4 linked regions of the Arabidopsis thaliana genome follow. The protein of the gene in region 4 interacts with the protein of the main gene of each other region in a pairwise test. Each region holds a gene or a part of one and is shown on either strand. Other genes may lie near its edges.

Region 1 (8,575 bases), on a different chromosome or scaffold from region 4:
CAAAAACATGTGAGAGACTCGTGGTCTTCTTACAGCATTCTGTCTTGAATATCACTGAAGATACCAGAAGCCAAAGTTCCAAGCTTCTTCTTTGTTTCTCCTGCTATGTTCACCAGCGACGATAGATCTTGTTGCGCCTGATCAAAAATTCGTCAAAAGGTTAAAAATGTGAAGAAGAACCAGAGATTCAGGTGTATGGATCTTTTACCTGGAAAGAAAGTCGGTTAATGAGATCACTAGCTGTTATATCAATATTGGAATCATCTTGGTCGTGACCGTAAAAATCAGCGCTTGAGATAGATGCTGAGCCCTGTAATTTCCAACAATGGCATTAGAATCGGAAGATGTTGTTATATGTTCCTTTGAGATTGTGGTGAATGTTGTTACTTACTGCAAACTTCTGAAGAGTAGCTTTTGATTCCAGATCAGCGTTTTTGTTCTGATCCCCAAAGTACTGAGCTGAAGATATGGACTTTGCGTTTGTGAACTTCTTTCTTGCTTCATCTGATTCTTCAACCTAGTAAGAGAAAAAGAAATGGTTTAGAAGAGGTTTGGAATTTCGATTTATTAATTTTGTTACTGAGAAATTATGTGTTTACTTGAGATTTTGAAGAGTTGGAGCTTGATTTCTTGGGAAAAGAACTGTCCATTCCAAAATCCGAAAAGAAGCTTGACGACTTTGGTGGAGCAACATGGTTAAGCACTTGTGTACCACCAACGCTTTGTCCTCCAGATTGCAGGTCGTCATTGTACTCAAACCGAGAGGCAAATGATGAACCAGCTGATGATTTGCTTTCCCCGTTATTTGTTGATGATACAGCGGGAATAACCGGTGCAACTTCTTCCGGTTTCTGCTCATAGAGATTGTCTTTTGGCTACATTTCACCAAAAACAAAATCCAATCTTTTAATCTGAACAAGAGAACAAAAACGTAAATGCTCCAAAAAAATACCCCTAAGACTTACCTTAGTAGTAAGCTTCCTTGCACCAAGACCACCAGTTTTTCCTGTCCTTTTAGCACCAATAGGTTTCTTAAACGTACTAGGCACAACTGTATTAGAAGCTTTAGGCGAAGAAGTAGCACTGGTAGCTTCATGTTTCGAAAGAGGTAACTCTTCCTTGACAGAATAAGAAGAAACCCCATTAGATACTTCCGGTAACTGAGAAGTAGCAACGGGAGATGACAGAAGACCAGAATTAGTTTCTTCCGCAATCGCTTTCGCAACTTCTTTAGCAAGAATCTGCCGATACAAATCAGCAGCTCTTGAAGTATACTTAGCTTCAATTTTGCCACCATCAGTCCATCCATGTTGCTTGAAGAAAACCTGAGCACGGTTGTTACCACCAAACATCATTGTCCTGAGCTGCTCCGGGCTCCAAGAGTCTAAATTCGTTGATCTATACAAAAACGGAAAAGGTAGCATCTTGAGAACGTAATGTGGCATTATTCAATATTATCTAGTCAATGAATCGATAATTTGAATGAGTCTAATTTCAAGACACTGGTGAAATTTTGAAGTCAACAATTCTGAAACCTTAAAACATAATCTGATGATTCAACCACACTAAAGTCAACGTAATGCTACACATTAGCCAACAATTCTGAACACCTGAGCACGGTTTAAGCTAATTCCCTTATAAAGGCCTCAAAAGCTTAAACCTTAGCCAAAATCTGAGCTAGAGTAATGCCGAAGAATTGGATCAGATGATGAATTGTTTACCTGACGAAGCTGATATGAACACCAAGATTCCGGTGAGTAGCTGAACAATCGATGCAGAGGAAAATCCCATATGTAACCGATGCCCAAGTTGGATTCTTCGCACTACAATCGAAGCAGACCTAAATTGGCAAATCAAAACCAAAATTAGCATAAATGAATCAAAGATCTAGTCAAACAACTCTCAGATCTAAACATACACAATATCAAATTGACGATACTCAAAGAAAGAGAAGAATTCAGAAAAAAATTTGATTACCTTGTTCTCAGATTTTGATTTGAGTTTTCTGAAAACAATGTTTTTGTCGGTAAGATTGTCAGCAGAAGAAGAAGCCATTGTAGATCAAATTGTTCAATTTGATCACCTCCTTGAAGAAATTTGAAAGATTTTTTAATTTGAAATCTTTCTTCTTCAAAATCTGTAAATCTAAAGGAAACAGTACTAACGTTTGATGGAAACATTTGATCTGACTAGACTGACGAAAACACCCTGAATAAACTCTAGAAATTACGAAAATGGCATTACGTAGAAACGACACGTAGTGTGTAAATTCCGTTTCTGAAGCAACATGGATGATATAAAACGGACGAAAGCTTATCATTTTCACCTTTTCTTAAACCTCAATTCAAAGATTACTTCCTAATTTGTCTAATCGTGTGTTATACATTTTTCGTATTAATATTATGTTTATCATATGGTTTAATACGTACAGGATTTGTTTTTAATATCTGAAGTTAACATGTATTAGTAAATTAAAATACGACTTTTTATAACTCCAGGTTTTCAAACTAACTAACGGTTTTCATTTTTGCCTTCTTTCCATAATATGTCTCACACATATTATATGCTAAAAGTTTCGCTATACTTGTTGTTGACCATACACTAAAAAATGTCAAATGTGAAATATTTGCGGGCTAGTTTTATTAACTACCCAAAATGTGTGAGGCCCAATATAAAGTAAAGCCCAGCTTAATTTGTTTTGTTTGCTTTTATGCGATTCCGAAATGTCACTGTACAGTAGACACTATAGTTTCGTCGGATATGAACATAGAGAGACCAACATTTTTGGGCATTTGCTCTCACTGAAAAAGAAAGCATATTATGAAATCTGGCCACTAAAAACACGAGACCCACACGACATAATGTGATTATTTTTGTGTGGTCGTATAATTTTCGTAATTAAATCTAATTCTGTTTTAATACTATACCTTTTATTTTCCTTTATGCTCTTGCGTCTCTTTCACCTTTGATATCAAAATCACCCATGTCTTTTTTTTGTTCTTTATCATTGCAAAAAGTTGTGTCCAATAACGAAGCCAACAAAAATATGTTTATAAGAAAATGTTAAACTACAAGTCTACAATATTTGCTTTATAGGTTTTGTATATAAATGTTGTATCCAAATCTTTGGTGTTAACACTCCCTTAATCCCTTTAAATCATATTTTCCTGCCTCAAAGAACAACTGCAATTCTACAAACTCATTGTTTAAATTAATTGATGCTACTTGCTTACAAGAATTAAATGATGGGATTAATCACAAGAAAAGCAGATATTGACACCAATACCAAAAGTGAGGGAGACAAGATCATTATTGTAAGTGAAATATCATTTTCATTCTTTAATTGTTCTTAATTATCAACTTTGATGTAAAAGGCTCCTTGACAAATTTGATCCGATTCTCTTACATAGATTAGTAATTTTCTTGTAAAACAATTACTATTCAGAAAAAAATTGTTTTCAATCAAGTTATGTATATAACCCAACTTCAGAAATAACTCAATCAATAATTCATATTTGGTGAAAATAAAAGTACTATTTCTTTTTCTTTAGAGTTAAAAAAAAAAAATGAATATAAACAGATTCCTTTTCCCGAAACAATCAAACCAAACACAAATATTTTGCTTAAAGAACTTACTTCTCTCCTCTGTCTCTCACCGGAAAAACAAAAAGTCTTCTCTTTTATAACTACGTCAGAGAACTGTTATGTCTCCGACGAATGTTCAAGTAACCGATTACCATCTCAACCAATCAAAAACGGATACAACAAATCTCTGGTCAACCGACGACGATGCATCGGTAATGGAAGCTTTCATCGGCGGCGGCTCCGATCATTCTTCTCTTTTTCCTCCACTTCCTCCTCCTCCTCTTCCTCAAGTCAACGAAGATAATCTCCAGCAACGTCTCCAAGCTTTAATCGAAGGAGCAAACGAGAACTGGACTTACGCCGTGTTCTGGCAATCATCTCACGGTTTCGCCGGAGAAGACAACAACAACAACAACACAGTGTTGTTAGGTTGGGGAGATGGTTATTACAAAGGAGAAGAAGAGAAGTCTAGAAAGAAGAAATCAAATCCAGCTAGTGCAGCTGAACAAGAGCATCGTAAGAGAGTGATTAGAGAGCTCAACTCTTTAATCTCCGGTGGTGTAGGAGGAGGAGATGAAGCTGGAGATGAAGAAGTTACAGATACTGAATGGTTCTTCTTAGTTTCAATGACACAGAGCTTTGTCAAGGGTACTGGTTTACCTGGTCAAGCTTTCTCAAATTCAGACACGATTTGGTTATCTGGTTCTAATGCTTTAGCTGGATCAAGTTGTGAGAGAGCTCGTCAAGGTCAGATTTATGGGTTACAAACAATGGTGTGTGTAGCGACAGAGAATGGTGTCGTTGAGCTTGGTTCGTCGGAGATTATTCATCAAAGTTCAGATCTTGTTGATAAAGTTGACACCTTTTTCAATTTTAACAATGGTGGTGGTGAATTTGGTTCTTGGGCGTTTAATTTGAATCCAGATCAAGGAGAGAATGATCCAGGTTTGTGGATTAGTGAACCTAATGGTGTTGACTCTGGTCTTGTAGCTGCTCCGGTGATGAATAATGGTGGAAATGACTCAACTTCTAATTCTGATTCTCAACCAATTTCTAAGCTTTGTAATGGAAGCTCTGTTGAAAACCCTAACCCTAAAGTTCTGAAATCTTGTGAAATGGTGAATTTCAAGAATGGGATTGAGAATGGTCAAGAAGAAGATAGTAGTAATAAGAAGAGATCACCGGTTTCGAATAATGAAGAAGGGATGCTTTCTTTTACCTCTGTTCTTCCATGTGACTCGAATCACTCTGATCTTGAAGCTTCAGTGGCTAAAGAAGCTGAGAGTAACAGAGTTGTGGTTGAACCGGAGAAGAAACCGAGGAAACGAGGGAGAAAACCGGCGAATGGAAGAGAAGAGCCTTTGAATCATGTAGAGGCAGAGAGACAGAGAAGAGAGAAGTTGAATCAGAGATTCTATTCTTTAAGAGCTGTGGTTCCTAATGTGTCTAAGATGGATAAAGCTTCTCTATTAGGAGATGCTATTTCGTATATCAGTGAGCTTAAGTCTAAGTTGCAAAAGGCTGAATCTGATAAAGAAGAGTTGCAGAAGCAGATTGATGTGATGAATAAAGAAGCGGGAAATGCGAAAAGTTCGGTAAAAGATCGAAAATGTTTGAATCAAGAATCGAGTGTGTTGATAGAGATGGAGGTTGATGTGAAGATTATTGGTTGGGATGCAATGATAAGGATTCAATGTAGTAAGAGGAATCATCCTGGTGCTAAGTTCATGGAAGCACTTAAGGAGTTGGATTTGGAAGTGAATCATGCGAGTTTATCGGTAGTGAATGATCTTATGATCCAACAAGCGACTGTGAAAATGGGGAATCAGTTTTTCACGCAAGATCAACTCAAGGTTGCTCTAACGGAGAAAGTTGGAGAATGTCCATGAATTGAAGTCAGCATCTTTAGGGCTAATACACCGGAGAATACTGCGAAAAGTCGAAAACAACGATCATAGTATAAGCCGCGGTAAAAAGTGTTAAACCTTTCACACAAGTTTCTCTAGTGAATGTAGTTGTAAACTCTATTGTGTAAGGGTAATTTTGTAGTACCCACTTGTTGCTATTGAATGCTTGTTAGAGAGGATTCTTAGTGTAGTATATGATTAGGTTGGGGTTTGTTGTTTCATGAGATAAATAAATGTGTTTGATCAATGGTTAAGTCTTTGGTTTGTTGGTGTATGTATGTAAATAAGGCTTTTGTTAGAAATAAGACAAATGGGACTGAAGTTGGAGTTTTTTGTTGTCTTTTGAGTTAAAGTTTGAGTATTTCACTTTCAAGTGAGTTTTTTGTGTTCATCATTTGGGACTAGTCATTGGGAAGTTGGCATCAAAAGAGGCATCTAATTTGTTAGGAACGAATATACCTACTTTTTTTTGTTTTCAATAGGGATAATTTAAATCAATCACAGCTATTTAGAGATTCCAATGTAGGACCTCAAAATTTATGTGGATGTTACATGATCATTATCGTTCTAAATAGTATTTTGAACCATAGATTACTTCAGAGTAATTAAGTTTGTCGCATAAATCATGATGCACAACATGCAAATGCTAAATGGATTTCTTGATATTGACAGAAGAAGTGAAACCACTAGAATAATACCCTTTAAAAAAATAAAAAAAAATCAATATATGTCATAAAGGTCCAAAATGGTGAAATCAAAATGAAACATGGGGATATAAACATAAGATGTCTTAAAAGGGTTGTGGGGGAGGGAAAGCGAGGTTATGAATCTTTGAAGAAAAAGTTAAAATCATACAAAAAAATCGTGGAGACATGTGTGGTCGATTATTAAAGAGATTTTTCTGCAACATATATTATTGTGTTTGTTTCCAAACATTTTAGCAATAATCTCCTCGAAAATGTGAGTGACAGTGCGAAGAGAACGTGTGAGTGATAAGAAGAAAGCATGCGCTTTTAAAATTATAGGGCACATTATCGCCAAATAAAAACAAAGAACGAAAGGAGACATTTATCATCTGTACATGTAATATTAACTATACTTTGTTTGATGATCGTTTTCTCATTCTGGATAACTTTAGATTAATTGTACGTAAAAGATGTACTAAATAGACTAATTCAGATTACAATTAGTTACCAAATGTACATTAAATAATGGCAATTTGATTACAATAGAGATTACAATTGGACTAGATTAAAACACTGTTTAGTGGCAGATTATTGACATAGTTATCATGCCGTAATAGTACGCATACATTCTAATGGAGTATTATAAAGATTTCAAGACGATCGAATATCCACCCCTTTGGTTTGCTAAATTTTCTTACCAATAGTATAATGTTGTTGCATGGTTGTCTGTGTCAAGAGTACTTTATTTGATGCTCCAAAGTGTGTGCGGATTTGGAATTTTTTAAACTGATCCATCACCCTTCATTTTGTATATATATATTTTAAAAGAATATAATATCAACAATTTGTTACAGATTTTACTTTTTAAAGGATAAAATCCATCGTCTCTGTTTGTTTTGAGATTTCTTTATTAAAGAAGTCCGTTTTTTTCTTAAGTTTGTTACGAAAAAGGAAAAATTAAATTTTGGATTTTCTTAAAACCTAAAACCCAAAAAGCCCAACAAAAGCTGGAAGTTTGAAACCATTCGAGCCTAGTAGCTATATGTAATATATTCATGTGTAATGAAGTAGCATGTGTCATGTGACATGGGCTGCCGAAAAGAAATTAGCTTATAACAAGGCTAGTCATTATTTAAAACGATATGATTCATTACATCTATCGTTTAAGAGAAATCAGATATATATATATATATACAAAGGCTTGATTCTTGAATGGACAAATTCAGTTTTAGCACGAGAGTTAGCGGAATAGCGTCAATCAACAAACTTAATGAATAGTTAGCAAATTCACAACAAAACATTTCCTGATGAGAGAGTACAAAATATTTCATTGCACGAACTTATTCTCGCAGATACGTCAATAGGACTGAGATGGAACAGGAGAAGTCTTTTGTTGCTTCTTAGAGGATTGTTGCTCCTTAGAGGATTGTTGCCTTGTCATACATAACATACATACTACGCAGTAGTACTTTATAAAAAAAAAACATACTACGCAGTACGCATTATTCATGCGAATAGCCAACATGTGAATACGCCAAACACCATAAGTTAAATACTCGGTATCTAAACCTTGGTGAGATCTTTCTTATAAATATAAGTCGAGACATCATTTATCAAAATCTACAAAAGGATATCACACAGAAAAAAAAAACACTTTTTAACACAAAACGTAATTAGGACATTACGCAACATCTAACGTGTCCAACCCTAATTGAGCGTCAAAAGGTTTTAGAAATTTCTAAATTATTATAGGCTATAATCTACTCCTTAGCAGTTTCAAATGTATGCACTACATTTCGTAAGGAATCACTGTCCATCTACTAGACTGCTCTCTAATTCTTCTCTTTAGTCATTGCTATCATCGTTTTGCGATGAAGATGACTTTGAAGACTCGAGCGAGGAGTGGTTTGTTGTCTTTGCCAAGAGAGCTGTGACCGCTATTGAGTCTTCCGTACATACAACAACATTTATTGAATCTTTCATTCATAACTAGATGAGTAAAAATACTTAGTTATATAATTGTATCATGCTATTGTTATTTACAACAATCGTCATTTCGACTAAATTTTTTGATTATCCCAATATTTGATATTATACATTTCTACCACCTAAATATATATTAGGTATTTGGCACATTGTCTCTAGGGAAAAGTCTAATTCGATATACCTACTTTGCTAATTAATTATCTGATAATTTAATAAACCATTAGACTTTCCATAACATGATAATTTCAACGTATAATTTGATATATAAATATTATTCAGATTTAGATCTCGTTGTCGTAACTAAAAAAATGAAAGAAAGATTTGACGTTAACGATGATAATGATTAAAGTAGGTGAGGATGCTCAAAATATCGATCTTCTAATTGGCTCAACCATCCATCATCAACTTCAA
Region 2 (9,307 bases), on a different chromosome or scaffold from region 4:
TGCAAACTAGTCAACAAGGCTCAACGTAGGGCATAAAATAATCAACAAGGCTGTAGGAATATTTAATTTTTTTTTTTGGTAGGGATAGGAATATTTAATTTTGTTATATGGTTTTGTGCTTCTTAAAAGCTTAATGCAAACATTGTTATATGAATATATTTATAAGCAACAAATATATGGACAAAACACGTAAGATGTTACTATTGTTCAGTAACACGTATGTATGTTATTGAGATTATAAGTTTTCATTCATGTCCTAACTAGTCATTTTTGGTATCCTTTAAATCAGAATCTTCCCCTAACTATAGTACTAATTGATCCCAAAAAAGTGTGGGCCAAAAACTTTCTTCAGTGTTTATATATTGTAATTTAACTAAAAAAAATTATTAGTTAGTGTGATGAAACATTTAACAAAAGTATAACTAGAGTTTTTTTTCTTCTTTTAATTTCAATATATTATCTTAAAATTTAAAATTACTAAGGAAACTAAGAAAGTACTAAGATAACTAAGGAAATAAAAAGAAAGATAAATCTATGGAAAATGGAAATTACGTAAGTTAATTAGAAATTAAATCTGCTAAACAATGATAATCTTTTTTGTGCTAATTTTTATAAGAAAATAAATTGGCCAAAATGGTGAAATTGACTTGTGGATTATTATACAAGCTGGATGTTTATTAAAAAGAAAGAATTGTCAATTATGATAGAAACATTATTATATAATGAGTTGTTAATCTATTAGTAGAAAAAAAAACAATTAAAATCCAAAGATTGTTGGGTAAAAAAAAAAGTTGTTTCCTAAGTCTAGCAATTAAATTACTGTAGATTTGGTTAAAAGTCTAAAGATAAAGTTTTGGCTTAAGGTATCACAAGTAACATTAATCATGAAAGATTTTATCTTTTGGTTAATTTGTTTGTTTTAGGACTAGCGAAGAAAAAGGCAAATTTTGATACTTTCCTTAAACAAAGAAAGGATATATAAACACTTTATTCATCATAAGTTGTTCTCTACCGATCCTGATTTTTTCATTTCTCATTCAGTGATCGTGCTCATCTCTTTATTCCCGACAGGATCATGAGTTCTCCGGTGATAAATCAAGACATGATCCAAGAATTTCTTTCTTATCTTCCGGCGTCAAAAATCGGAAAATTCAGGCTCCTGAATAAAGAGTGCAACAAGAGAAGCTACGAGTCATGGTTTGTCAATCTTAATCTCCTTAGAACCAATCGTATTTCGGGATACTTCATACAACACTACATAGTAAAAGGACACGAACTTCGAACCAGTTTTGTCCATGAGAGGAGTGATTTACAAAACAATGGAGTCTCCATCGACTTTCTGCCACCCGGAATGATAAAGATCGAAGCTTGTGATGCAAGTCATGGGATATTGCTTTGTGTTAAGTATACAAAACCATCACGTGGATACATAGTCTTCAAACCAACCACTAAACAGTATCAGGTCATACCAAAGCCAGAAGTGAAGGGTTGGGATATGTCATTGGGTTTAGCGGTAATCGGATTGAACCCTTTCCGGTATAAAATACAAAGGCTTTCGCAGTCTCGGCGTATGTGTATGTCTCGGGGTATCTACCATTTGAATCACAGAACTTTTATGTGCGAAGTTTTCGATTCTGATTCGTTTACCTGGAAGAGATTAGAAAATTTGCGTCTACCAAAAACAGACAGATTAATTTTTTCCAACCCGATACAAGTTTCGGGGTTCTTGCATTGGATATCACGGAACAACAATGTGATCCGGTTTTGTCTCAAAACCGAAACTTGGTCCTTCTTCCATACTCCGAACTCTGATGTTTTCTCAGGATTAGTCAGATACGAAGGGAAGCTAGGTGCTATTCGTCAGTGGACAAACAAAGATCAAGAAGATGTTCACGAGTTATGGGTTTTAAAGAGCAGTTTTGAAAAGTCGTGGGTTAAAGTGAAAGATATTAAAAGCATTGGAGTAGATTTGATTACGTGGACTCCAAGCAACGACGTTGTATTGTTTCGTAGTAGTGATCGTGGTTGCCTCTACAACATAAACGCAGAGAAGTTGAATTTAGTTTATGCAAAAAAAGAGGGATCTGATTGTTCTTTCGTTTGTTTTCCGTTTTGTTCTGATTACGAGAGGGTTGATCTGAACGGAAGAAGCAACGGGCCGACACTTTAAAAAAAAAATAAAAAAAATGGGCCGACAAATGCAAACGTAGTTGACAAGGATCTCAAGTCTCAAGTCTCAATTGGCTCGCTCATTGTGGGGCATAAATATATCTAGTGATGTTTAATTGTTTTTTATAAGGTAAAAAGGAATATTGAATTTTGTTTCTTAGGTTTATGTAATAATACCAAACATTGTTTTATGAATATTTAATCTGATTTTTTGGCTAGTTATTTTATTATATCAAGGGTTCCTGTTTATAGTTGAAAACAGTTACTGTATAGAAAATAGTGTCCCAATTTTCTCTCTTAAATAATATATTAGTTAATAAAAGATATTTTAATATATTAGATATACAATAATATCTAAAGCAACACATATTTAGACACAACACGTAATATCTTACTATTGTTTACATATATTTATAGCTTACCAATATAACCCGTATCTATGTTTTATAAGCTTTTATACAATATATGTACGGTATGCTGTCCACGTATATATATTCTCCAAAAAAAACGCATGGTACACAAAATTTATTAAATATTTGGCAATTGGGTGTTTATCTAAAGTTTATCACAATATTTATCAACTATAATAGATGGTAGAAGATAAAAAAATTATATCAGATTGATTCAATTAAATTTTATAATATATCATTTTAAAAAATTAATTAAAAGAAAACTATTTCATAAAATTGTTCAAAAGATAATTAGTAAAATTAATTAAATATGTGATGCTATTGAGTTATAGAGAGTTATTGTAAATTTACTTAAAATCATACAAATCTTATCCTAATTTAACTTATCATTTAAGAAATACAAAAGTAAAAAACGCGGAAAGCAATAATTTATTTACCTTATTATAACTCCTATATAAAGTACTCTGTTTATTCAACATAATCTTACGTTGTTGTATTCATAGGCATCTTTAACCTATCTTTTCATTTTCTGATCTCGATCGTTTTCGATCCAACAAAATGAGTCTACCGGTGAGGAACCAAGAGGTGATTATGCAGATTCCTTCTTCTTCTCAGTTTCCAGCAACATCGAGTCCGGAAAACACCAATCAAGTGAAGGATGAGCCAAATTTGTTTAGACGTGTTATGAATTTGCTTTTACGTCGTAGTTATTGAAAAAGCTGATTTATCGCATGATTCAGAACGAGAAGTTGAAGGCAAATAACTAAAGAAGTCTTTTATATGTATACAATAATTGTTTTTAAATCAAATCCTAATTAAAAAAATATATTCATTATGACTTTCATGTTTTTAATGTAATTTATTCCTATATCTATAATGATTTTGTTGTGAAGAGCGTTTTCATTTGCTATAGAACAAGGAGAATAGTTCCAGGAAATATTCGACTTGATTTAATTATAGTGTAAACATGCTGAACACTGAAAATTACTTTTTCAATAAACGAAAAATATAATATACATTACAAAACTTATGTGAATAAAGCATGAAACTTAATATACGTTCCCTTTATCATTTTACTTCAAAGAAAATAAACAGAAATGTAACTTTCACATGTAAATCTAATTCTTAAATTTAAAAAATAATATTTATATATTTATATGAAAATAACGAACCGGATGAAAAATAAATTTTATATATTTATATCATCTCCAAATCTAGTTTGGTTCAGGGGCTTACCGAACCGGATTGAACTTCTCATATACAAAAATTAGCAACACAAAATGTCTCCGGTATAAATACTAACATTTATAACCCGAACCGGTTTAGCTTCCTGTTATATCTTTTTAAAAAAGATCTCTGACAAAGATTCCTTTCCTGGAAATTTACCGGTTTTGGTGAAATGTAAACCGTGGGACGAGGATGCTTCTTCATATCTCACCACCACTCTCGTTGACTTGACTTGGCTCTGCTCGTCAATGGTTATCTTCGATCTTTAACCAAATCCAGTTGATAAGGTCTCTTCGTTGATTAGCAGAGATCTCTTTAATTTGTGAATTTCAATTCATCGGAACCTGTTGATGGACACCACCATTGATGGATTCGCCGATTCTTATGAAATCAGCAGCACTAGTTTCGTCGCTACCGATAACACCGACTCCTCTATTGTTTATCTGGCCGCCGAACAAGTACTCACCGGACCTGATGTATCTGCTCTGCAATTGCTCTCCAACAGCTTCGAATCCGTCTTTGACTCGCCGGATGATTTCTACAGCGACGCTAAGCTTGTTCTCTCCGACGGCCGGGAAGTTTCTTTCCACCGGTGCGTTTTGTCAGCGAGAAGCTCTTTCTTCAAGAGCGCTTTAGCCGCCGCTAAGAAGGAGAAAGACTCCAACAACACCGCCGCCGTGAAGCTCGAGCTTAAGGAGATTGCCAAGGATTACGAAGTCGGTTTCGATTCGGTTGTGACTGTTTTGGCTTATGTTTACAGCAGCAGAGTGAGACCGCCGCCTAAAGGAGTTTCTGAATGCGCAGACGAGAATTGCTGCCACGTGGCTTGCCGGCCGGCGGTGGATTTCATGTTGGAGGTTCTCTATTTGGCTTTCATCTTCAAGATCCCTGAATTAATTACTCTCTATCAGGTAAAACACCATCTGCATTAAGCTATGGTTACACATTCATGAATATGTTCTTACTTGAGTACTTGTATTTGTATTTCAGAGGCACTTATTGGACGTTGTAGACAAAGTTGTTATAGAGGACACATTGGTTATACTCAAGCTTGCTAATATATGTGGTAAAGCTTGTATGAAGCTATTGGATAGATGTAAAGAGATTATTGTCAAGTCTAATGTAGATATGGTTAGTCTTGAAAAGTCATTGCCGGAAGAGCTTGTTAAAGAGATAATTGATAGACGTAAAGAGCTTGGTTTGGAGGTACCTAAAGTAAAGAAACATGTCTCGAATGTACATAAGGCACTTGACTCGGATGATATTGAGTTAGTCAAGTTGCTTTTGAAAGAGGATCACACCAATCTAGATGATGCGTGTGCTCTTCATTTCGCTGTTGCATATTGCAATGTGAAGACCGCAACAGATCTTTTAAAACTTGATCTTGCCGATGTCAACCATAGGAATCCGAGGGGATATACGGTGCTTCATGTTGCTGCGATGCGGAAGGAGCCACAATTGATACTATCTCTATTGGAAAAAGGTGCAAGTGCATCAGAAGCAACTTTGGAAGGTAGAACCGCACTCATGATCGCAAAACAAGCCACTATGGCGGTTGAATGTAATAATATCCCGGAGCAATGCAAGCATTCTCTCAAAGGCCGACTATGTGTAGAAATACTAGAGCAAGAAGACAAACGAGAACAAATTCCTAGAGATGTTCCTCCCTCTTTTGCAGTGGCGGCCGATGAATTGAAGATGACGCTGCTCGATCTTGAAAATAGAGGTATCTATCAAGTCTTATTTCTTATATGTTTGAATTAAATTTATGTCCTCTCTATTAGGAAACTGAGTGAACTAATGATAACTATTCTTTGTGTCGTCCACTGTTTAGTTGCACTTGCTCAACGTCTTTTTCCAACGGAAGCACAAGCTGCAATGGAGATCGCCGAAATGAAGGGAACATGTGAGTTCATAGTGACTAGCCTCGAGCCTGACCGTCTCACTGGTACGAAGAGAACATCACCGGGTGTAAAGATAGCACCTTTCAGAATCCTAGAAGAGCATCAAAGTAGACTAAAAGCGCTTTCTAAAACCGGTATGGATTCTCACCCACTTCATCGGACTCCTTATCACAAAAAACAAAACTAAATGATCTTTAAACATGGTTTTGTTACTTGCTGTCTGACCTTGTTTTTTTATCATCAGTGGAACTCGGGAAACGATTCTTCCCGCGCTGTTCGGCAGTGCTCGACCAGATTATGAACTGTGAGGACTTGACTCAACTGGCTTGCGGAGAAGACGACACTGCTGAGAAACGACTACAAAAGAAGCAAAGGTACATGGAAATACAAGAGACACTAAAGAAGGCCTTTAGTGAGGACAATTTGGAATTAGGAAATTCGTCCCTGACAGATTCGACTTCTTCCACATCGAAATCAACCGGTGGAAAGAGGTCTAACCGTAAACTCTCTCATCGTCGTCGGTGAGACTCTTGCCTCTTAGTGTAATTTTTGCTGTACCATATAATTCTGTTTTCATGATGACTGTAACTGTTTATGTCTATCGTTGGCGTCATATAGTTTCGCTCTTCGTTTTGCATCCTGTGTATTATTGCTGCAGGTGTGCTTCAAACAAATGTTGTAACAATTTGAACCAATGGTATACAGATTTGTAATATATATTTATGTACATCAACAATAACCCATGATGGTGTTACAGAGTTGCTAGAATCAAAGTGTGAAATAATGTCAAATTGTTCATCTGTTGGATATTTTCCACCAAGAACCAAAAGAATATTCAAGTTCCCTGAACTTCTGGCAACATTCATGTTATATGTATCTTCCTAATTCTTCCTTTAACCTTTTGTAACTCGAATTACACAGCAAGTTAGTTTCAGGTCTAGAGATAAGAGAACACTGAGTGGGCGTGTAAGGTGCATTCTCCTAGTCAGCTCCATTGCATCCAACATTTGTGAATGACACAAGTTAACAATCCTTTGCACCATTTCTGGGTGCATACATGGAAACTTCTTCGATTGAAACTTCCCACATGTGCAGGTGCGTTCGCTGTCACTGATAGACCAAGAGACTGAAAGCTTTCACAAATTGCCCTCAAATCTTCTGTTTCTATCGTCATGACTCCATATCTCCGACCACTGGTCATGAGCCAGAGCCCACTGATTTTGAGGGAATTGGGCTAACCATTTCCGAGCTTCTGAGTCCTTCTTTTTGATGTCCTTTATGTAGGAATCAAATTCTTCCTTCTGACTTGTGGATCCAGCCTGCTTCACAAGGCTCACCAGGTTGTAGTCTCCAAAAATATCATGGAATTGTAAGCAAAAACAATCCAGACAGAACCTGTGATAGACCCAAGGTTCTTGCCACAGTGATCCGGGTTCGTTAATAACAGCAACTATGTCCGGGTGAGGACTGGAGACGAGGCAAACGTCTTTCCTTTGTGTTACCTTCTCTCTGATATTAGTGAGAAACCAACGCCAACTATCAGTGGACACTTCTTTGGTAAGCGGAAAGGCAAGCGGGAAAAAGCAATCATCAGCGTCGAGTCCTGAGGAAATCATCAATTTCATAGGGTACTTGCCGTTCAAGTCTTTTGAATCCACTATGATCAGAGGTCTACAGTGTTGAAACCCTTCAATGGACTGTGGAAACGCCCAAAACGCGCCACCGAAGGATGCAAATTCAGGATTAGGGAAAAGCTCATATTGCAGTCCACAAGTAGCCCATTAGATGAGTGAAATGCAGCCAATTAGTTTAGGCAATACTCTGAAACTCTGATCTTTGATTACTTCCTGTTCTGCTGCCCGCAGCTTTGAAGTTTTAAGCATGTCACCAAACTTTTCAACTCTGCTGTTAGAGTGGGTTGTACCCTGATCAGACACTCAATCTCTTCTGCTGCAAATTACAAGTTGAAGTTTTCCGGCTTAATAGAACAACAAGTATGTGGACCAACTACACTTAGTTATCTTAACAAGTCCATGTTCTTCTATTCAATCTGCCCGACGCGACCAATTGCATTTCCATCTGATGCATTTAAACGTATACTCGTCCTTCTCAATCTCTTGTACTACACACTTTTGCTGCCCTCTAATGGAACACCAGTCCACCGCCTTCTTCAGCTCATCCCTATCTTTAAAACACAACCCTACACGCAATTCATGATCATCAATCCACAAACTAGACAAAGTACACTGTTTTGAAGCACTCGAATCAACAACACCTTTACTTAATAAGCACGCATACGGTAATACCTCTAAGCCTGGCACATTCAAACCTTGTGTGCATCATCTGAACCCGAGTTTTTATCCGTTATTTCTCCATCCCCACCTCCACGAGTGCTACCATTTCCGAAGTCAGAATTTTCCTCGTCTTCAATCCACCCGTTACTGTTACCCACTCCCTGAACCTCTAAACCATTATCTCTCTCTACTTTCACAGATGCATGTGACACATAATCAGTAGCTTCTTGGGGTTGTTGCGTCCTCTGTGTATTCGAGGAACTAGCGGGATATTCTATTACGGATGAACAAGCAGCATGATCAGTAACATTATCAGATGTCGATTTCACTTCCAAATACAACTCCACATTTCTTATAGAAGGATGATAACTTGGAACTTCAAGCATAGTCTCCAAACTAGTGTCGTTCACTACATGAAGAAGTAGATAGATAAAGAGATCCGGTGAAACAACTACAGGATACCTACCAAAATATATTGAACACTGATTTCTGCAGCTGCAATCCAAAAATTGGATAAAGACCATTCAACAATGTACTTAACGCAGTCTTTTGCCTAACCTTGACCGTTTTAGGAGTGGATCCTTCATAGTAAACACCATCAGGACCATACTTGGTAGAACCTTTCTCTCAAGGTTTCCATCGCCATGACCATAACAGTCCTGCAGTGAATTCTAAGAAAAATGTAAAAAATTTTGGCCTAAACTCATAATTCTTAACATACGAAACCATGGAGAACTCCATGTCTAAAAAATAAAGGCTAAAGCTTTTTGGCGACAGAAGCAGATAAATCCATTCAAAACACATAAACTCTAAACAATAAACAGTGATACTCAATACTAAGACTTGTAAAGGTCTACGTAACTCAAAACTGGAGAATTTCAGATCGGGTGTGGCAGAGAAGCTTGGATTTTGCAAGAACTTCAACTAATTTCGCCTGTCGCTGAGGACTTCTCCGGTGACGAAGCCACTTGTCACCGATGACGAAGACACCACCTAACTTTTTCATATGCCATAAATGTCACACCTATTCGAACAAAAATAAAATAAAGTACAATTGGGCCGAAAGAAGAAAGCCCGTTTTGAGCCCGTTTATAAACTAGCAAAACATTCAATTTCATTCCCGCCAAAAATTAACTTTCAATGTCCCAATGATTTAATATTTTGTTTTTAAGAATCAATATATGCATTAGAATTAGAAAATTGGTAAGTACGAGTTGTAGAAAAGAACTAGTTTTTGCAGGATGATTTTTGTCCACATTAAGCCTTTGCAGATAAGAAACTTGATTAAACAAGCTAAAAACAC
Region 3 (6,545 bases), 7.1 Mb from region 4:
AAATGAATAAAACAAATGCTCCTTTGTCTCCTATATTAATCTCAAACAGATAAAGCTGAAAATCCCAAAAACCTCTTAGTAATTCAAAAAAAAAAAAAATAGCTGAAAAGCAAATCTCTATTTGATCAATTAATTCGAACGCTCAATAGTATGTAAGAAGTCATTTACACAGTACCTCGGTAAGTGTTTGAGGGTTAAATATTTGTTGAATTTTTAACATCACACTAATTTAGAGTATAATCTAAATTATAAGGTATACGTATGAAATCATAGCTCAATGATGATAGAATTCGTTAATTATTCTCGTAAAAGTGAATATTTGATTTAAAATGAGTCAAAATATATTTGATTTGACGAATTCTAAAAGTGTTCCGCTTGAGTTATAGAAACATGCTCAAAATGATGGTGATGACTTTTTTTTAGTTCTTTATTTGAAAAGTCAGTTTGGAAATGAAAACAGTAAGGCTGACCAAACAATATACAGTATGTTATCCAACTCTTATCCGTTTTAAGAAAACAAAGTATGTGTAAGAGTCGGGTAATATGATATCAGGTTATTTCTAAACCATCTGTCTTGTAACCCATCATTTTACTTGGATATATTTTCTTACATACAAATAATTTATTATAATAGTTTAGACATGTCAATTGGACTAGTCCAGTCTGACAAAGTCCAGAAAATTCGAATATATTTTATTTAGTCTGGTTCGGTTAGTAAAAATTTTGAAATAAAAAAATTTGAACTTATATTTCAAGATCTGGTAATAACAGGGACAAGACTTTTCCAGGTTTTTTATGTTTTTCTTTCCAGAAAAAAACAAATTTATAATTTATAATATTTCTGAAAGATGGATATATGAACAAAACAAATCAGTTGAAATTTAAATAACCATGAAAGCCAGTTTATTTTCAAAAAAAAAGGTTTAAAATCAAAAAAAATAATCTAATTTTTTTATTTAAACTCATAACAAATAAAATATAAAATCAGAAGATTTTAATCTAGACAGTCGAGCCAAGATTTGTTTTTTAGATTTATAGTAAGGCACAATTGAAAAACTAGGTTTAGGGTTTTCAATACTATTAAAAAAAACAAAAACAAATATTCCAATTAAAGAAAAATATTAACAAAAGAAAAGTAAAAAAAAAAATTAAAATTTTTTTAGGCCGGCTTGAATCTGGTGGGATTAAGCCTCAAAAACTTTTTATCCCGAATGGGTTAGCTTAAGGGAATTTTCTGGATATATATTTTTAAGTCTGAATCTCTATTTTCAGAATTGATAGTCCGGGGAATTTGACCCTAAATGAAATATAGTTTGATAAATAAACAAATAGACAATATCTGAAGAACAAATTAACCGTCCAAAAAAAAATATGCGAACTCCTATCCAAACACCTAGTTTAAAAATAACAATATAATATTTTAAATAACAATGTTGGAATATCATTAATTTCTAAGGAAAAAAACTAAAACCTTAACTTTAAAAAAATTAAAATAGGATAAAATAGGACTATACTTGTACAGTTGTATCAGTAAATAATAATTTCTGTAAACTGCCAGAAGAAAGGTTTATTTTCCTTTTTTTAGTGGACCTATCAATTAATTATTCCAATATAACTTCTTTTTTTCAGGTCCACTAAATATATTTTCTATACTACATATTATATTACATGATAATATTTCATTCTCAAATATACCTATATAAATTTAAGATTTCTTCTATTTACCAATTAGTTTAATTATTAGTTTGTTACACCATTATTGTTTTCCATACATAACATAAATAGAAATAGAGTTTTCTGTAACGTTTCTATATAATCCAAGTGAAACAAACATATTTTCCACTTCCATTTACAAAAGAAAAAGAAAAAAAAAACAGAGAAAAATGGATTCGAAAAATGGAATTAACAACAGCCAAAAGGCAAGAAGGACTCCAAAAGACCGCCATTTGAAAATTGGTGGCCGTGATCGTCGCATTCGGATCCCGCCGAGTGTTGCTCCCCAACTATTTAGATTGACAAAAGAACTCGGCTTTAAAACCGATGGTGAAACTGTCAGTTGGCTCCTCCAGAATGCCGAGCCTGCCATTTTCGCAGCCACGGGACATGGTGTCACCACCACCTCCAATGAAGATATCCAGCCAAATAGGAATTTTCCTAGTTACACCTTTAATGGTGATAATATTAGTAATAACGTTTTCCCTTGTACGGTTGTAAATACTGGTCATCGTCAGATGGTGTTTCCGGTTTCTACAATGACAGATCATGCACCTTCAACTAATTACAGTACTATTAGTGATAATTACAATTCCACCTTTAATGGTAATGCTACCGCCAGTGATACAACATCAGCAGCAACAACAACAGCCACAACCACAGTTTGAGCTTGTGAAGGAGGAGACGGCGTCGCTGAGAAGGCCAATTTGGAGTCTTTAAAATAAATATTGGAGATTTAAGAGTGTTCAGTTCTGGACGTTTTAGTTCGTTTCTGTTTGCTTTTTCTTTCCTCTTCATGTTTTTCAGTTTGAGAGTTGAACTAGGGTTTGTTTTAGTTCGATCGGTATCCATTTGTCTTTTTTTCTTGTATGCTCATGTTTTTTTAAGATGAATAATAATACCTAAAATTAATTATAGATGTAATTTAAAACTGTTTGTCCATGTTTGAAGTTTAGTAGAGAATTTGATTTCAACAATGGATTAAATTAAACTCTTCACAACAAATTTGATTCATTTTTTCTTTTTTGGACACGAACAATTTCGTTGGTATTCTAGAATAAATAATTCTGTCATAATATTTACCGAAACATAACTTTTATGTACAGTTATTTATTTCCGTTTTCTAATTTGTCAAAATTCGTTTGTCTTTCGAACCTAAAGGTTCCAACGGTTATGAAAACATTAATTAAAAACGGATATCAAAAACTATAATATAAATAAATTAAAGAGATAATAAAAGGAACAATTGAGTAAGAATGTGGTTTTATATCTGTTAAAGAAATTTCCAGCTCACACTTAGCTGGACAATAATTATTTAAGATTTGTTTCTGTATTTAGCTTCATACATCTATTTTAATATTTCTTAATACACAGATATATATTTTAATATATATATATATATATTATTTTCAAGATTCTCAAGGAAAAAAAAAGAAAAAAAAAAGGAAGGAAAACTAAATCTAAAGAATAAGAAACTAATTTTTGTGTAAATAAAAATTACTTTAATAAACTTTTAATAGTTTTCCCTTAAATTCTTTTACTTTATAGATTGGTTAATATGTATTTAGAGAAAAATACTATTTAACCTTTATTTAGATTAAAAAAAAAAACTTGAGTAAGAAAATGGTTTAAAATTCTTAAAGAAAATTCCAGCTCACTTTAAGCTAGAAAAAGAGATTATATAGTTTATAGTATAAAAATAAATTTAATCATACCATGTTTAATAAAATTTGAAGAAAAACTTATTTTCTTTTTCCATGAATAACAAGATTTTTCTTAACAATTAAAATTTCTTTTAGCAACATATATTAATACTTTAGTTTTCTGTTTTTTTGTTGGACATGGGTTCCGCCCCATTCCAAAAAGCCCGGCCCAAATATAGTTAGGCCCATAAGAAAGAGACTTGCGTTTGGTCCGTTACACAAGCTCAGCCCATTAAGTATCGTCAATTTGCTGGGAGCAGAAAAGAAAAATCATCCCGAGTTCATGACCGCATATATCTTCCCTATAAAAGCGGAAAAACACTGTCGAGAAAGGATCCCGAATTTCACGCTGACACATATGTAGAGAGTACATGTAATCTCCTTCGTACAAGTTTCCCCATTGAGTTCCTAGGAAGCCTTTTTTTAATCGTTAGTACGTACGAACATCTTTCGAACCAAACGCCTTGTCCGTCATTCTTGCACCTTTATTCAAACGAGTTGGATACATTGTCTTCTCGGATTGTCCTTGTAAACTCGTACCTTCACCTTGTATAATCTTGTATTCGCCAAACCTAATTCGTCTTATAAGAGATTATCCGTCCTTCTCCTTAAACCTTTACATGAATTGTATGATTTGAGTATCAACAGTTTTTGTTTAGGGAACTACGGTTTCAGCTTCAAGCAACTCTGACGGTTCTAATGGTCATCGATGGCCAAAAAAGTGCAAGAAAGTATTTTTCAAAATAGAATTACTCAGTTATACATAGGGAACAAAAAAAAGATAATACAATAATCGAACATAATTAGACATTCTTAATAAAGCATTAAGAGGTTCAGATTTATAGAAGGATTGCCTCATATTCATAGGTTTTATTTTTATAATTTTTTTTTTCTTTAACATCTATATATTCATATTGATATCGTTTTCGCGATTTCTTTTGAGTTATCCACCACCACCACCTCCTCCATTATTTTCGCCTCCAGGTCCATAGTTGTAGAAATCTTGTCTTGGGATATAATGGTGATTCTCCACGCTGCTTCTTGGGTGCTCTATTTTCTCAGTAGAGTCTTCTTCTTTCCCTATGATCATCTCTCGGGACACTTTTTCGCTTTCTTGATTAGTTTCCCGGGGAATTATATTCCTTGCAGCCAAACATGAGCTTATAATGACCATCATCACCATAATAACAACCACAACATGCTTAGAGTTTATCCCCATATTGGTTTTATTATGAGCTGCAAAAGAAAGAAAGAATAGTCTTTACATAAACAGAACCTTGAAGATCTTAGTATATTGACATGAAATGAGTATAACTTACCTTTGCAACTAATCGTAACAAGCGTTGATGGGTTTAGTTAAGTACCCTTAAAGGGAAAAAGATAAGAGTTTAAGACATTGATATTTATACATGCAGGAGAATAGGGTTTTTGTTATGGTGGGTTGACTATTTGAGATCATATTTTAAAATTATACGATTTAGGTACGATGTGACCCCCGGTGCCTAGTGGTGAGACAATCACAAGTGGGAGAGGCCTCTTATTGGAGAATTAAATTTTTTCTTAAGAAGGAAAGAATTGTGATGACAAAATGATGAAGTTGGTTGAAAAAGGGTTGTCTATTATTGGCACTACGAATAGGGAAAACCCACGTTACTTTATGGATTAGCATTGTATTAAGTGGTGCTTTTACAAAAGTGTAAAAGTAACTAGATTTTATCCCGCGGTATACAATTTATCTTTTTAAAGTTAGTATAATATTTTTTTTGCAAATTGTATCTATTTATAATATATTTTTATTTTATAGTTTACAATTGTTATTAAGTAACGTCCTGCCAAACCCGTCCCGCCAAATCCGTCCCGTAAAAAAACCATTTATTTATATTAATGTTGATCTTATTAAAGATATGTTTATAAATCATTGTCTAAATATTTTTGTCGATGCGGGACGTTGAACCCACACATTTTTTGCTAATTGGTTAATATATGTTCATTTTTAAAATTTTGAATCATAAAATATGACGGAAAAATTAAGATTTTTTTAAACTCTATATATTATATAATGATGTTAAAAAATTGTAATATATCAAACTTTTTATAAGTTTAAATATTAATAATGTTTTATAAATTTTAAATATATAAATAATAATATTTAAAAAAATAATATTTTTGTTTATAAGGTAATGACATAATAACTCTAAAAGCAAGGATTTAGAAGATTTAAATCTTTAATTAAATATTTTCATTAATAAATAATTAATGTCAGTGACATGACATTGTAAATAAATTCAAATACAAAATTTATTTATTTAAACAAAAAAACGTTTAGTAAGAATAATATTTATTTAACAAAAAACTTTATTTTAAAATATTGTTAACAAATATGTTTATGCTAATTTTAAGGGATTGATTTGAAGTTTGGTAGGATTAAATTTGATTCATAATATGATTGACAATTTAAATCAAAAATTTAAAGTAAAATTAATTATTTTGGAAAAAAGATTTAATGCTAATGGCATTAGATTGTAAATAAGTCCAAGTGCAGGATTTATTTGCTAAAATGGCTGCAAAAATGTATATATAGATTAAAACTTTTCTAAAACACCTGAGTGATTACTATTCGTGCATAGGATACTTTTCGAATTGATTTTTTGAGATTTGCTCGGACTAATAGGTCGTCAAAGGAGGCATTATTTCCCATATTCCACCTCCCAAAGAACATATTCTAGTACGACATTTGTTACCGATCATCGGAGGATTAAAATCCATTTGTTCTCTGGTTGATATAATCGCTACCCTAATTGGTTCACTAAATATCCAGCAAAACGACATTTTCACCAACACGAGTTGAAGATGTGTTTTTGTATACTAGAAATGTCTATGAAGACCAAGTGTCGTTAGCTAAATTGGTAAAAACCCTGGGCGAAACTTAGAGGTCGCTGGTTCGAGTGACGCTTGGGACAAAATTAATATTACATGTCGTGGTTTCGGGCCTAGGAGGATTACGGGTTTCGGCCCAAAACCTCTTAGTATTCGAAAAAGAAAAAAAAATTGTCTATGAAATGACTTTGAGTTTTGCCCCTAAGAGACACTATAATGCGGATCCAATGGGCGGGACTAACAATGTATTGG
Region 4 (6,748 bases):
GCAACCGAAACAATCGTTTTCGAGCAAAGCCATTTGCAAAAACTATGAAAGCCTTACGAAAAGAGAAAATGATGATAGTCAACTATTATAATGCTCTAATAGTTGGACCCTAATTGTAATAGATTTACGTATAAAAAAAAAGACAAATTTTGGATAGACCTTGTATATCAGATTTTCCAGCACATGTATAAAGCCGTGCAGGTCTATGTACATATCTCGATACACAGCTATATGTCATGCCAATACATATCTCGATTAAGATTAGCTTGACTAGCAACCTAAGTCCACAACTACTACTATTGTGAATGACTAGACTTTTAACTCGTTTAATATATTGTTTGTGTTAGAAAGATATAATAGATTTTAAAAGAAAAAAAAGATTTGAGAATTATGTATATAAAACAAAAAGAAGACATGTTAATTTGCTTCAATCATATCATTTCGTGTTAGTAATTCTATATCTTATCATCCACTTTTGACTTATTCAATTAACTTAAAGTATCATAGGAAAGAACGAGATAGCACGTCATATTAAAATGGATGGATGTGATTCACACTTGCACAATTCTCGTCTTGCGCTAAATTTCTGTCCAATTTCGTCTGCCAACCTACAACTTACAAGGTCCAAAAGCCCTTTAATATAATTACGCATTATTAGTATTTTCCAATGTCAAGAAAACAATAAATGGACTATAACTCTCTGCTTAATGCCTAAAGGGCTAGAACAATTAGTCAATTAGTGGATAGACGATTTTTTAGAGGTTTAAATAGTTTTCAAATAAAAATAAAATATATTTCTGTATTAATATAACATAATAAAAACAAGTTAATAGAAATAAATTGTATATTTTAAATTAATCAAAATACATAAGCAAGAAATATGAGTATTCAGTATTCACTAATTTTAAAATACATAAATTTAAAAGCATTAGGCTAAATTCACCTATCTTACCAAAATCTATCTAATACAATTAATCTGCATGATAACTGGATAATCTGCTAAATCTAACTAGCTACTTAAGAGGTGGTGATCTACGCCTAGAACGTCTAATCATGATTTAGGAGATTTTAAGCGGCTACACATTTACAACATAACATATTATAAATATTATATTATAAATAAAATTCATAGAAAACTATCTCTTAGAAAAATAAAAATATGAAATTATAAACAAAACTTAGATAAAACCATTTATAATTCATAGCAAACAATATATACAAAGCTAAAACTTATAATTTAAATTGATATAGTTGGAAACAAACAATATATACAAAGCTAAAACTTATAATTTAAATTTATATAGTTGGAAACAAACAATATATACAAAGCTAAAACTTATAATTTAAATTTATATAGTTGAAAACTAAAAAATAAACTAAAATAAAACTTATGGAATTTTAGACAGCCAAAACGGTTATTTAGATATCACATAAACGTCTAAAATCTAGATGACGATCAACTAGGGATGTCAGACGGGCGAGCACGCGACCAAATGGGGGGTCCGTGATGGCCCGTGCTTCTTTTCCATAAGTGGTGGTCCGGTCCGCCAACGACCACATGCGACCAATCGAAGCCCATATTCGCCTCGCAATGTCCATTGGTCTAACGGTCTGGCCCGCAATCCTGTTCTGTTCTAGTTGTCTCTGAAACACACTGTGTTGTTCTCGTCTCTGAAACACAGTGTTGTTCTCGTCTCTGAAACCTTCGCTTATGGAGAACTTCTGTTCTATTGCATGCCTTTGAAGACAAGAGACTTTGACCGTAATAAATGGTTATTCCACAAGTTTTGTAATTCTGTGTTATCACCAAACACAAACTGTTCAGTCTACTCCATCGTTAATATCTAGGTTCACCATTGAATCTTCCACCAGCTATAACCAAACAACGACGAAAAAGAGATGTCATAACTATTTAACTACACAAATAGCATCTAAAAATAGCAACAAAAAAAATCAAAAACTAGTCATTACTTAGTACCTATGAAATTGTTTCCAAATGTCTCCAATTAGAACCTTGGATCCTTCAACGATGGTGATACTACCAACACCACCAAGGACGAGATTCTTCAAGGCATTGGAACCAATAGGACCACAATTGAGTAAACAGATACTCGCTTCTTCCAAAGTCCCTTGACTTCACCTCAAAATCCTAATCAATCAACGATTACTTCATAAAATTTCCTCCCAACAAGATTCGTTCGAAGATCGATAGAATAATACAAATGTAGAGTTCGAAGAGACTAACATAGTATACATGAGTTGACGATCGTACTTGGCTTTAGGTTCCATCATTGTTAGAGATGAGAGATCATATGTTCGTAAGTCGTAAACAGAGGAAGAAGAACAAGCGCGTCGTCCACAAGTCCGCAGACATTAATAGATAAACCATGACTAATCCACAATCCAAAGTTCCAAACGCACCCAACCCGCAATGCCCGCTCTTTTTTTGGACTCCCTTATACAGGCCCATACCTACTCTGCAATATTACTAAACGGGCCAGGCAAAGGCCCAATTGATATCTTTACCATCAACACTTTTTTAAAACATTGATTTTAGTAAAATTTATGTTGTTTAGGAACGTCAAACGCTTAAATAGCTTTTGTTTGACTTGTAGTTTTGCAAATATATAACTTCTCTTTTGACGTATAAAATAAAACTGAAGAATCTGAAATTTGGATAACATGTTAATAATCTTCTTTTACCATTTTTTTCAAAAGTATTGTAGTTAAAAAAAAATTGATTATTGTAAGAAGGGGAAAAACATGAAGGACTACAAGTCTACAACGATAAACTAACGCTGTCTGGTTCCGGTTTACAGTTCAGATCCAAACCCAAACCCTGTAACCCGACCCGATTAATCTCATCGAATTCTCCGTCTCGAACGCCGTTACAATCCAACGAGTTTCTCAACCCAAGATTCTGACTCCGTTTCCTCTTCTTAGACGGTAACTCTCCCTCAGCAACACCGCCGTTAACTTTCGCAACCGTTCGTGTCGCCACGTGTACTCTCCGTAATATCTTGAAAAACTCATCCACCTCTTCCTCCGTTACCGTCCGAACAACTTCCGTCGACGGTTTCCCTCTGTTACCGTCAGATTTTCCGTTATCTTCTTCTACGCGTTCTTCTTTCTTCAAAGAGTTGTTCATGTTAGCCAGAAGAAAATGTTAACGGCGTCGTTTAAGCTTAGTCAAGAAAAAATTATTTGCTGATTTTATTTTGCTAAAATTTATAATGAAACTCTTATAGCCGTCGGTGTGGAACTTAGACGGTCGATATTGTCAACAACTAAATAAATTGGACGGTGGAGATTGATGCTAATGACATCATCATGCGATGTTTTAAAGCGTAAGTATCATGACGTCACACTTTATTGACTTTTGGAATAAAGGAAGTCCATGTGTGGAAAAATTGGTATCGGCTATATTTTTAGAGTATATGTAAGAAATAACTTTTGACTTCAAAAGAATACACAAAATAACCTTGGACCAAATAGTATTTGTCGGCTACAGAAATTTTGGCAATAGTTAGTCTATTTTAGCCTTTCTCTTTCTTCTTCCTTCTTTTGTTTCTTTTTCATCTTCTTTACGAGACTTTAGCCATGGAGTTCTCTTTCTCTCTTCATCTTTAACACAATTCATCTTCTTCAGATTCACCATGTCATTTTCTTTTTCTATTTCTCTCTCCCTCTCCTAAAATAATCTTCACCACCTCTCATAAAATATATCATCATATCTCTTTATTTTGTTCACCTACATGTTCTCTCTTTCTTTTTCCATAGAAATCTCTCTATCTCTCATTCTTTATTTTCTCTTTTTACCTGAATTTTCCGTCAATGTCGTTGTGATATAAGAGATTAGATTTGATTTTAAAACAAATGTCTGATTTTAAAATGCATGTATTTTAAGAACAAAACATGTTATTAACACTGATATATTAATATTTGTCATGCTATCCAATAAAAACTCATGAAATAAATAAATATTTGTCATGTTATCCAATAAAAACCCATGTAATATTGTAACAATTCTATATGTTTTTTTAAACTTCGCGATCTATAAGAGAATTGCATGCTTTTTATAAATATTTCGTGCTATTTCTGAGAAACACATTATTTCAGAGAAACATATATATCGTGTATATATATTCTGTATGTATTTTAAAGAATTGCATGATTTTTGTAAATATATCATGCTATTTTAGACAAATACATATAAACTTTATAACTAAAGCCAATGGCATTATTGTAAAAATAAGTAAACACAAGGATATTTTTGTATTTTCTCTTTTTCAGAAAATGTTATTTACCTAACTTTTCTGACACAATGTCATTCTCTCAATTCTTTTCCATTTCATAGTTAGTTTCTAATATTACCCATATTTTTATATACATAGAGATCTATATTTTTATAATTTAACAAAGACCAAAAAAATTTGGCCAAACAACAAATAAATAAGGAAGACTAAGAACTTGTGAATTGTGATCATCGTTAACGTGGGGAAGATTTTCTTGCGATTATTATTCCTAGTCTTATTTATTTATTTATTTCCACTATCAATTTAAAATGACACGTAAATTTGTAATGATTTTTCGAATAATGTAAGCACTAATTGATATTGGTGTTTTAACTTTTAACAAAAGAAAACAAAGATCTACATATGGGCCTAAAGTAAAAGCCTTTTAGTTAAGTACATTATAATTGGGCTTTATATCTTAACAACGTCGAATCAATTGTAGGGCCGACGTGGGCGGCTAAGCTGTTTCCAACTTTCCAACTTCCGACCAGCTCCACTTGTGTCTTTCGCTCTCTCTACACTTATGTTTTTTTTTTTTCAACTCTCTGTTTTGTCTGACGTGTCCACTTACTAATAATTTTTGAAAAAACTTTCCACATATAAAAATTGCTTGATGGTCGTCGTCGATGGCTGCATTATTTATGAATGTATTAGTCCACATGGTGAAATGTCTACATTTTAAACACCACGTGACACTGATAATCCGACACTTGTATGTGTGAAATCAATGTAATGATCCCTTACTCTTTCTTTTTTGTTTTTCTTTCAATAGAACAAAAATATTGCGAATTTATCTAATAATGTTTCTGTAATACTAAAATTATTTTAAAAGTTTTTATTTAATATATTGTTAATTTGTCTAAATTTTGTCACGACCGTTTTTCTTCATGAATAGTCTTTGACGTAGTTGAACATCCATTTTGTATACACTGTTATAAATTTGCACACATTTTGTGTTTCAACAATTTTTAAAAAGTATATATGTAGTGTACAACTTTACTTTATTATTGCTTTACTTTTTTTTTGTCTATTGTCGTTGAAAAATGACATCAAATGAATCTGTTGCCTTCCTTACGTAGGAAACGTTTTGTTGAAATAGTAATAATTAGTAAGGGTCATTGTATATTGGTGGAGAAAATGTTTTTCTTACTTCTGTAATTGCATCGTCTTTTCTTCACGTAGGGTAGGCAATCACATGCATTCAGGCGTGCGTTCACTGTTTTCTTTTTTCTTCTAGCTTTTTGTTTTCCTACTATATTGTTGCAGAAAAATGTTTAGTTTAAACTAAATTAATTATCCAACTCTTTAAAGTGGCAATCTTGTAAATAAAAAGGGGAGTAGGTCTGGACCAATGTGGCAATGCGAGCGATATGTTAAAAAAGCTGTGGAATAAACAAAATTTTGGAAATTAGGAGTTCCTTTCGTTTTATGGAATTGAAAGAAAATGACACTTTCAATATTTTTTTGGTATTTCTTTAGTAAAAAATGTTTTAAATTTTTAATCGATCGAATCGTAATGAACCTTACAAAAAAATCATAAAATTTGAAGTTGATATATAAATTTTAATCTAGAGATGTTAACTTTTTGGATTAATCTGGAAGCGACCTGTTTTAAGTTGTTTCAAAACTATTAGGACCGAAACCAAATAGAATCGAGCAAAAAATGTTAGAAATTTTTATTTTATTTTGTGTTCTTTAGGTTAACCAAATGTTCGTTCATGGTGTAAGATATCAAATAATGGATGAGCTTAACCTCTAAAATACAAGTTTAAATTGATCGGTTCAAATCGGACCGAACTTAAATGATTTTGCAAGTTATTAGAGTGATCATGATCATGTTATGTTACGGAATATTACAGAGTAACTTAACTTAAGCACTGACTTAGTTGACCCAAAAAGAGACCATTGACTTCATGAAATGCTTGAGTGTGGAAAAAATAAAACAGAGTTATTCAAAAACGTTTTGAGTTGTGAATTATTCTCATTAACATTGTATTTATTTGGTGCACAAAAAAAAAAAAAAAAAAAATTGTATTTATTTATACCCACTAAAGATGGGAAGAAGACTTGTAAATTATGATGAAAAGTCCCTCGGTTGGTAGCAACTAGCAAATGTGGGGATGGAACAATCCTCCACGTTCGAAATTGTTCTTCTTTAGCACAATCAAGATACTGCAAAGTAAACTACCTCTAATGTAATTAATTAACCTCACAAATTGTTATGTTAATTAATGGTATTGAATTATACTCGTCGATCTTTTGTAAGATATTTTTGTTGAATGCCGAAAAAATTATCAGAATCTATAATTGATGTTTTTGTTTAAGAGTCAATTTGGGAGAATGAGTTAAATTACTATAGAATACAAGTATACATCACATCAAATAATATGAATAATTCACTAAACAATGAAGGAGTAGTTACTAGTCACTCTCTTTTATTTATTTTTAATTAA

Evidence for each region.
Region 1: the proteins of NIMIN-2 (region 4) and MYC4 interact in binary tests that used the Arabidopsis thaliana proteins (3 or more experiments, as listed by UniProt).
Region 2: the proteins of NIMIN-2 (region 4) and NPR1 interact in binary tests that used the Arabidopsis thaliana proteins (3 or more experiments, as listed by UniProt).
Region 3: the proteins of NIMIN-2 (region 4) and TCP16 interact in binary tests that used the Arabidopsis thaliana proteins (3 or more experiments, as listed by UniProt).

Annotation. Positions count from the first base shown.
Region 1 is NC_003075.7:9,930,601-9,939,175, reverse strand, and holds MYC4 (Basic helix-loop-helix (bHLH) DNA-binding family protein), read left to right. Parts: upstream 1-3,490; 5' UTR 3,491-3,704; coding exon 3,705-5,474; 3' UTR 5,475-5,850; downstream 5,851-8,575. Other genes in the region: AGD8 (ARF-GAP domain 8), read right to left, coding at 30-137, 209-310, 392-517, 600-875, 966-1,398, 1,722-1,840, 1,978-2,055. UniProt on the Arabidopsis thaliana protein: Transcription factor involved in jasmonic acid (JA) gene regulation. With MYC2 and MYC3, controls additively subsets of JA-dependent responses. Can form complexes with all known glucosinolate-related MYBs to regulate glucosinolate biosynthesis.
Region 2 is NC_003070.9:23,850,257-23,859,563, reverse strand, and holds NPR1 (regulatory protein (NPR1)), read left to right. Parts: upstream 1-3,905; 5' UTR 3,906-4,156; coding exon 4,157-4,717; intron 4,718-4,796; coding exon 4,797-5,532; intron 5,533-5,640; coding exon 5,641-5,844; intron 5,845-5,954; coding exon 5,955-6,235; 3' UTR 6,236-6,816; downstream 6,817-9,307. Other genes in the region: AT1G64295 (F-box associated ubiquitination effector family protein), read left to right, coding at 1-10; AT1G64290 (F-box protein-like protein), read left to right, coding at 1,076-2,170. UniProt on the Arabidopsis thaliana protein: Salicylic acid (SA)-binding substrate-specific adapter of an E3 ubiquitin-protein ligase complex (CUL3-RBX1-BTB) which mediates the ubiquitination and subsequent proteasomal degradation of target proteins.
Region 3 is NC_003074.8:16,529,296-16,535,840, forward strand, and holds TCP16 (TCP domain protein 16), read left to right. Parts: upstream 1-1,883; coding exon 1,884-2,381; downstream 2,382-6,545. Other genes in the region: AT3G45160 (Putative membrane lipoprotein), read right to left, coding at 4,360-4,635. UniProt on the Arabidopsis thaliana protein: Required during early processes in pollen development.
Region 4 is NC_003074.8:9,467,742-9,474,489, forward strand, and holds NIMIN-2 (NIM1-interacting 2), read right to left. Parts: upstream 3,299-6,748; 5' UTR 3,149-3,298; coding exon 2,780-3,148; 3' UTR 2,616-2,779; downstream 1-2,615. Other genes in the region: AT3G25880 (NAD(P)-binding Rossmann-fold superfamily protein), read right to left, coding at 1,851-1,872, 1,979-2,134, 2,246-2,292.